2 linked regions of the Callithrix jacchus genome follow. The main gene of each other region encodes a partner of the protein of the gene in region 2 in a complex. Links are inferred from orthologs where the notes say so. Each region holds a gene or a part of one and is shown on either strand. Other genes may lie near its edges.

Evidence for each region.
Region 1: the proteins of YAP1 (region 2) and SMAD1 are in contact, whole or in part, in an NMR structure (PDB 2LAW), measured with the Homo sapiens proteins. The link is inferred for Callithrix jacchus from reciprocal best matches to the Homo sapiens genes YAP1 and SMAD1. Residues at the interface, in NP_001123617.1 of Homo sapiens: Glu237, Ala239, Met240, Thr241, Tyr247, Ile249, Asn250, His251, Lys254, Thr255, Thr256, Trp258; in NP_001003688.1 of Homo sapiens: Thr222, Pro223, Pro224, Pro225, Ala226, Tyr227, Leu228, Pro229, Pro230, Glu231, Asp232, Pro233.

What each region holds. Positions count from the first base shown.
Region 1 is NC_133504.1:51,521,869-51,526,191, forward strand, and holds the start of SMAD1 (mothers against decapentaplegic homolog 1), read right to left. Parts: upstream 2,807-4,323; 5' UTR 2,722-2,806; intron 2,622-2,721; exon of another isoform or gene 1,283-2,621; intron 1-1,282. UniProt on the Homo sapiens protein: Transcriptional modulator that plays a role in various cellular processes, including embryonic development, cell differentiation, and tissue homeostasis.
Region 2 is NC_133511.1:37,540,023-37,544,146, forward strand, and holds the start of YAP1 (transcriptional coactivator YAP1), read right to left. Parts: upstream 2,841-4,124; 5' UTR 2,457-2,840; coding exon 2,139-2,456; intron 1-2,138. UniProt on the Homo sapiens protein: Transcriptional regulator with dual roles as a coactivator and corepressor. Critical downstream regulatory target in the Hippo signaling pathway, crucial for organ size control and tumor suppression by restricting proliferation and promoting apoptosis.

The DNA of each region.
Region 1 (4,323 bases), on a different chromosome or scaffold from region 2:
GACTTTTACAGGCTGACCCCATGTCATCCTGATGTATCATTTTGCACTAGTTCAGTGCTGTAAATCAATTTAAGATCTCAAGCAGGTTGAAAAGCCTGGTAATGATGCTTTCTCTGCAGTCTCTGGAGACTCTACATTATACACAACTTACATTATTTATAAAGCCTCAGTGATGCTTCCATTAGCTTTGTAAGACTACACAAATGAGATCTGTTATACACACACACTTGGCCTTGATTATGGAGGCTACTGCAGCTTAAACATGTTTGTCTAATTACACCCAAGTTACTTCTTATTTTCAATCTACTAAGTTATTAGATTTTATCTTTAACCCAGAATTGCTAGAAATCGAAATTACAAAGTGAAATTTAGTTTTTAACTAATAAATGTAACAAATGCAGTTGAGAAAATGTGACTTACTTCATCTTACTGCCTTACTAAACTTAGTAGAAATAAAATTAAATTCCAAGAAGTCTTAGAGGTCAATGTTTTTTTAATTGCCTAAAAACTGTCATTTCTCTAAAACACAAAGATCATCAGCTCTTCAAGGATATGAAACCAAAGGATACAGCAAGAGGAAAAATGTATTTGGTTACATACCTATGGTTGCAGGGGTCAAAACTAAATCAAGGACAAATCCCTACCCTCAGAAGAAACCCGATCCTTCCTGGATCCTCTAGAGCCTCTGGCATCACCCACCTCCAGAAAAATCATCTTTCACAACCCTAGTTAAACTTTACTAAGAATTGCAGTATTACACCACCAATGATACACCACCTGCACAGAAATATCAAATAACTGAAAATGGGAGAGTGGGAGAGGGCAGAACAAACATTTTAATCAGTACAGCATATTTAGATCTGGCACCTACATCAGAATAACACTGATGCAACAATATTTATACCAATTGAAAATGCTGGGGCAGTAAACACTGGTTCTGTCCCGATTCTTTTTTAATACAGCTCACCTACCTTCAATACAATTTAATTACAAACAAGATGAAAAATCAACATGGGCAGGGAACAGTTTTCTCACTGTGTTACTGAAATGTGGGCAAGTTACCCGCAACAGGCAATTAGAGCCAAAGATGTTCTTATTGAAATAAAGGCATTCTGAGATTTAGCAGCTGAGAGTTCCAGCAACAGGAAGACACAACAGAAATGCAACTTCTGTATCATTCCACGTACTTTGAAACTTCAGATGCAGTGGAAAGGAGAGAAAGACTGGGGAGCGGGCGGGGGGGGGGGGGACGTAGAAAAAGGACAGTTGTCTCGGCACTCACGAAAATGATGCTTTCCCAGGAGATGGTTCTGAGATCGGTCTCAATTTTCAGAAACGCGTCTTTACTGGTTGTCTTGCACCGTCTATTTAAAAATTGCATGCGCTTCAAAATAAACAAAAGCGCAGCTACTGTAGTTGTGAGATCTGGCAGGCATTTGTTCCTCCTCCCCTCCTAACGCACATCATCAAGGAAACGTTCTCCCTTTAAAGCCTTCTTACAGATTCAGCAACTAGAAAAACAAGCCCACGTCTGTCTCTCACGCCCACCACCCCCACCTTCCTACAGAAACAACCCCGAGAAACACTAACAAAGACGGGGAGCAGAGTAAAGGAACAGTTGTTCAACGCGAACTCACGAATACACATGCAGTGAGGCAATCGACTGCGGTCAAGGGAAAGGAATGAGACACCAGGAGACGAAGCGGGTGTAGGCGGAAGAGGAGGAAAAAATTACGCGCCGCGGCCAAACCTTTGAATAAATTAGAGGGGATTTCGGTGCGAACTTTCCTTGACCTCGACCCCAAAGAGGCTCGCTAGGGCCGAGAAGGAAACCCGTGCGGGATGTGGAGGGGTCTGGGGCGCCAGGGTCCCCCGCCCACGAGACCCGTTCCTCCAGGCGCCTGGGAAGGCAGCGCCGGCGGCCGTTCTCCAGCTCCCGCAGGGGTCGCCCCGCCGGCGCGGGGACACAATGGGCCCGGGGCCGCGCGGACTGGCCTCGGCCCGGCTGCAGCACCGGAGAGATGTGAGGAGCGCGCGGAGAGGGAGCGCGGCTGGGGAGGTCCCGGCGCGGTCAGGCCTGAGGGCCGAGGCTAGAGGGGGCCGGGAACTCAGCTTCCCACAGCAGAAGACCCAACAAAGACGCCGGGGGAGCCTGGCGGGCTGGGCGCGAGGAGGAGAGGACGCGGTGGCAGGTTCGCTCCTCAGAGCAGCCGGGAGGCGCCATCATGGGGGGTGGGGGCGTCGCGGTCCGCCCCGCGCGGAAAGAGCCCCCTCCCCGCCGCCGTCCGCGCCCCCGGCCCCGCAGGACCGCGGCGGCCCCACGCGTACAGAGGCGTCAGCTCTGGAAAGCCCGGGGCGCCGAGGGGAAGGCGTGGACGCAGCATGAAGGGAAAGTTGGGTTCGGGTCTGTTTCGTTTTACCGGGTTGGCGGCGCGCCCATCCGCGCGGGCGCACGAGTGGCCGGGAGAGCGGGGTCCCGCGGCCCCGGTCAGGCCGGCCTGGTGCTGCGCCGCGCTCCGCTCCCAGGGTCCCTCCCGCGCCTCGGCCCGGGTTGAGCCGCTCGGCCTCTCCTTCCTCCGCCCGCCCTTCAGCCCGCTCTCTCCCGGAGCCTGGATTGATCTGGTCGCGCTGGCGTCAGGGAGTCGGAGCCGCCCAGCCTCCACTCCTCGGCTGCCAATGCCCGGCGCACTCGCCTGCCCGCCCGCCCGCTCACACGCTCACCCGCGCGCCGCCGCCGCTGCCGAGCGACCAGGGATCCTCTCCAAATTCCCGGCCCGGCCGGCGTGAGCGCAGCGCGGCCTGGGCTGGAGGACGGCGAGGGGGAGCGGCCCGAGTCACCCCCTTCCACCCCCAGCCCCACGCTCCGTTTATTCCTGGAGAAAAAACAGCGTGGCGGCGTTCTGGCTTTCCTAACCCTGCCTTCTTTAGTCCCGGTAGAGTGGACTTGGTGCATTATCTGCAAGTGAATTTCGATGCTCCATGTGTTTATTTTCTGAAACGCTCATTAACTCTTCTGTAAATATGGAATGCATGTTGACAGTTATCTTTCGAGACTGGCCCTTTGATGTCTAGTTTTCGTTGTCCCTTACTCACTCTCCAATAATTTGCAGGCACCAGAAGCTGAACGTACCCAGAAGTGGTTAGCTAGTAACTACTGCACGTGCTTATACAAACCCTGGGTCAACAGATGGGTTTTGTGTCAACTCAGGATACAATGATTCGAGTAGGTAACCTTGTTGCTCCAAATAATAACATGCCACAAGGAGATACTGCTTTAGAACTCTACATTTTGGTCCAATTTCTACAGTCTTTTAGATGATGCCAACACCCCGAAAACAAACTTAACTCTTACCTACCTGATCTGCATGGACATTGAAAGTATCTTCTTGCAAGAGTCAACTTTTCTCTTGGCCAACTCTCTGGAAGCTGCATAAAATCTTGGATAATTACCATAACGTTGAGTGACGTTTAGAAAAGAATAATTTTTTGAGGAATAAATTTCACATGAAGCAAAAAACATCACTCCCAGCCATGTGTATCCAGTGTATCATTAACATATATCAATGTATAGTAAATTCCTTTTTTCCTTAAACTATTTGCGCCCTTACTGGTCAATTCGTGGAATTCATCCTATTTTCCCTAAAAGCAGCATTTGATGCAGTTGGTCATTCTCTGCTGCTTGGAACAACAGGAAAGTGAACCTTCTTAAATGCCACTCAGATTAGGCCACTCCCCTGTTGAAAACTCTCCCTTGATAAACAGTACAAAATATCCCATACAAGAGAACATTATTCAGCCATAAAAAGGAATGAAGTGCTGATACTGATGCATGTGACCTGGATAACCTTTCAAAACATGTGGAGTGAAAGAAGATAACACAGTAAGACCACACATTGTATTCTTCCACATATCTGAAATGCTCAGAGTAGGCAAGGCTATGGAGACAGAAAGTAGATTGTTGGTTTGCATAGGGTTGAGGAATTGAGGAACCTGGGGAGTGACAGCTAAAGGTCATGGGGTGACAAAATTGTTCTAAAATTAGTTTCTGGTGATGGTTGCACAGTTCTGTGGATATACCAAAAGCCATTGAATTGTACACTTTAAATGGGTCAATCATTTGATATGTGAATTTTCCTCAAGCTATTAAAAAAAAAAAAAGCATGACAATGAAATGCAGTATATGACCTTGATTGGATCCTGAACGGGGAGGGGAGCTATAAACTGATATTTTAAAGCTGTAATTTTTTTTTAAACCTATAGATGGCATTTATTTATTTATTTAATTTTGAGATGAAGTTTCTCTCTGTCGCCCAGGCTGGAGTG
Region 2 (4,124 bases):
CAAATACCTTAACTTCCATATGCCTGTTTTCTCGTTTGTAAAACAGTTTTCATGACAAAAATGGATGTACATAAAACTTAGTCACCAGTTTGTGAATAATAGTATTTGCAACCTAGATTTGTTCTACTCCTAATCTTGCATATCTAAATTTTAAAAATTAGAATTAGAGTTTGATTACCAAAAAGTTAAGAATTTCCTAGATTCACAAAGGTAAGGAAACTGGAAGGACTTAGTAGAGTCATATCCATGCCTTTAAGTGATGGACCTTTCTTTGTTTCCCATCAGAAAAAGTGTGATTTAGGAAATCGTTAGCAGAAATAAAAGTCGAATTTACAGATGCACAACACTTAAAAACTTATTAAAAATAAAACTATAATACTCTGAATTTTAGAACTGCTGGATAGAAATTCACGTAAAAATTACTAGAAGAAAAAGTACACTTTCCAGTTATGATTCTTTGTGGCTGATAGATGCCACAAAATGGGGGATTCAATCTATGTCTATTATACTTTGAAAATACACTGTCTGTAAGGTGCATGCCAACATGTATTTACCCATAATGAGTCCATAAACCCACTTTCAGGGGTATGAGAAAAAAGCACACCTAAGTCTACTTCTGACAAATTGAAGTGTTTAGGCAAGAAGCTAAATTGTTTTTCCTTCCTCCTCCTTAACCCGGGTTTTTGTCATCAGGTTAAGTGAGCTTTTCTGAGTTCCAAAACCCGACAGGAGAATATACAACAGGCCTGCAAATAGGAGAGGGAATGGGAGTGGGGGCGGTAACTCTTTCCACTCAAGTTACAGTCCGAGTCGGCTAACTACACTGCAGTATTTGGAAAATCTATTAACTTTTGGGCAAAGTTCCTATGCTCAAGTTTAGCCTCAAGCAAGTTCTTTCTAAAAAAAAAGGAAAGAAAAAGAACCCTAAACAAATCCACGGGGACCTATCGGAATGTTAACACTTTCATTATAAATAGTTTCACTTCTATGCTGAATCAAGTTGGCAAAATGATCGAACGTTGTGTATGTGGAAAAGCAGCCATGTTCATATCCGCAATAAGAATTATAAAGCAATGGCGATTCCAGAATTAGTCATCGCTTCCCAAACATTAACTTTTAATCACAGTTGAACTAGGCAGGACTTGGCCTATGGGTCAACCTGCAGTGTATTATCAAAGGCTTGTGTTAAAACGTCGGTACAGTAAAGTGCAACTCAGTTCCTGCGCAACGTACAGATGTGGCTAATTTAAAAGCGTTTCAGCCGACTGTAAATAATAGTCTACAATTGGGAAACCAACACGCAACCTACTAAGTTTGATAAGAGCGAGCCGGCCCAAGTTCCAAGACACAAGGGAAGCACAGGGGGGTGTGAAAGAACTCCATAAACAACTTCCAGGAAAGTCTGGGCAGGGAAAGCCCGAAACCTGTGTTCTAAAAGCGCTTGAGCCTCGAAGAAAATAAAAGCTTACGGGAGGGGGAGGGGAAACGGGGGGGGGAAGAGCGAGCAAAAAAACTAAATGGACCGGTTCAACCCCCACCCCTAATCAACATTGGAAAACAAGAGAACAATTATTTGACTCCCCAGGAGACTGAAGTGGACCGAGAGGCCCCAAAGGAAAGGGGCCCAGGGCTCAACTTCAGAAACTCGGCCGCCGCTGGCAACTCACCCACACACAAATGCCAGAGGCCCCCCTCCCCCTTTCCCGGCCCGGCCCCGGCGGGAGCGAAGTTGCGGAGCGCGCGGAGGCGCGCGCATTGTGCAAGCCCACCGCGGCCCAGGCCCGGCTCTCCCCACCCCCTTCCTTCCTCCCCACACCCCCGCCACTCCCGCCAACCTCCCGGGAACCCCGGGAAGAAAGAAAGGAAGGAAGAGGGAAAGCACGCCCGCCGGGGCTGCAACCGCAGAGAGAAACTCAGAGGGGAAAAACAAATCTCAGCCCCGGACTCTGGGAAGAGTAGGGAGCCGGTCACCGCAGCCAAGGGGACGCCTCCAGTTCCTCCACTTCGCCGCGAGACCCCCACCCAAGACCTCCCGCAACCCCCCCTCCCCTGGCTAGAGCTGGCGGCCGCGACTCCCGAGCGCCCCCCAGCCTGGGGCCCGCCCGACGGGGAAGCTGGGAGAGGGGCGGCGAGGTTACCTGTCGGGAGTGGGATTTAGGCTCAGGAGGCTTGAAGAAGGAGTCGGGCAGCTTCCGGAGCCTCATGGGCACTGTCTGGGGCACGTTGGCCGTCTTGGGGTTCATGACGGCGTTGAAGAGCGCCTCCAAGTCGGTCTCTGAGTCCCCGCGGACGTGCACGATCTGATGCCCGGCGGGGGGTGCCTGTGACGCCGCCTGGGTCGCCGCGGGTGCCGGCTGCCCGGGTGCGGACGACGGGCCCTGCCCTTGAGGCTGCGCAGGCGGCTGCCCTTGGCCCTGGGGGGCCGCTTGAGGCGGCGGCTGCTGCCCAGGATCCATGGCTTCTGCCTCCCCCGATGCGCACCCCCGGACCAGGCGAGCGAAGGCTCCGCCCGGACGCCCCGGCTCCACGGGCCGAGGTGGAGAAACGGCGAGGGCTGCGGGCTGGGCGGTGGGAGCGGCGCTCTCCTAGCTCTCAGGGCCGGGGGACTGTGCTGCGGCCCCGCATCCCCTGCGCCCCGGCTCCACTGGTCTGGTGGCTGCGCCTCGGGAGGGGCTGCGAGGGACTCGGACCTGCGGCGCCTGAGAACTTTTTCCCTCCAACTCCCTTGACTGAGGCCGGACGGCTGGTTGCCTTTCCCCTCCTCCCCGTTTCTCTTTTATTTCCTTTTCTTGTTCCTTCCTTCCTCCCTTTCTTTTCCCTGGCGGCGGCTGCGCCCGACTGAGACAGAAACTCGCCTCAGACGCCAAAACTAAAGTTGGGAGAAGCGCCCGCCCGCGCCGCCGCGGCCCCGCCTCCCGGCTCTTCCTTCCTCTGCGCGCCCGCCCGCACCGCGGCCCAGTCTGCCGCGCAGGGAAACTTTTCGCTGCAAGTTGCTACATTCCTGCACACTCCCGGCCCGCGGCGCCGCTCCCGGCCGCACGTGACTCGCCCACCCGGGCCCAGTCCGCCCTCCGCTCGCGCTCTGCCGGGCAGGGGCCCGGAGCGTGCCCTGTGTTCCGCCTCGCGAACCACAAACGCTGAGTCCAATCTGGGTCCAAACTGTAGTCTCTGCGGAGAAGGCGGCCGCCCTTGGCCGCAGGAAGTCCTTCCGCCCCGCTCGGCCCCTTCTTCGCCCGGGCTCGGGAAAGGCGCTTCCAGCTCGCCGGGACCTGCGAAAGGGCCAAGGTCGAAAGAAGTGGAGAGAGGATGTGCGAACCCACCTCCACGCGTTACCCCGGTTCGACCGAGCGGAGCGCCAGTGCGGGCTTCAAGCCGGGAGCATAGCTTGGAGTTAAAATAGATACTGTGAGGCGGCGCTAATGTTAATAAAGGTCCTTTTTTTTTTTCAGCATTAACTTTATTTTGTAATTCTGTTTCATTTATGTGTTGGTATGCAAAAACTCACTTGGAAAGGATAAATGGTTACTGAAATTGAAGCTTTGAGACTGGGTCTGTGACTCCCTGTAACTTATTAAAAGAAACAAAAACACTGCGTATTTTTCTCAGTATTTTTCTAAATACTGAAATCACATCAACTTTTTTAGTACTCGAATTTGCAGCATAGTCACTGGAAGCCTCAACCCAAAAAATCAGTGCTTCTTCAGGTACAAGCATTCATTCCTCTTTACCTGTCTTTCATCCTCTGGGAGCTGGGTCCTACCCCTGCTATCCCTGTGCCTGGCCCAACAGTGGACTCTGTGAATGTGGACTGAATAAGAAATGAATGGGCAAGGAGGTCACCGCAGGCACGCGATGTGCAAGGAGCTCATTGGAAACCACTCAAAAACAATGGAAATGTGTGTTTTAAGTCACACTCTCGGGTTTTTTTTTAAAGCATCTTTATTGGCTGGTCCAAGTGCAGTGGTGTTTACAACTAATTGATCGCAACCAGTTACAGATTTCTTTGTTCCTTCTCCACTCCCACTGCTTCACTTGACTAGCCTCAAGAAAAAGAAAAAAAAAGTCTTTATTGAGATGTAATTCATATACCATAAAATGTTAAGTAATATTTGTACATATTTGTA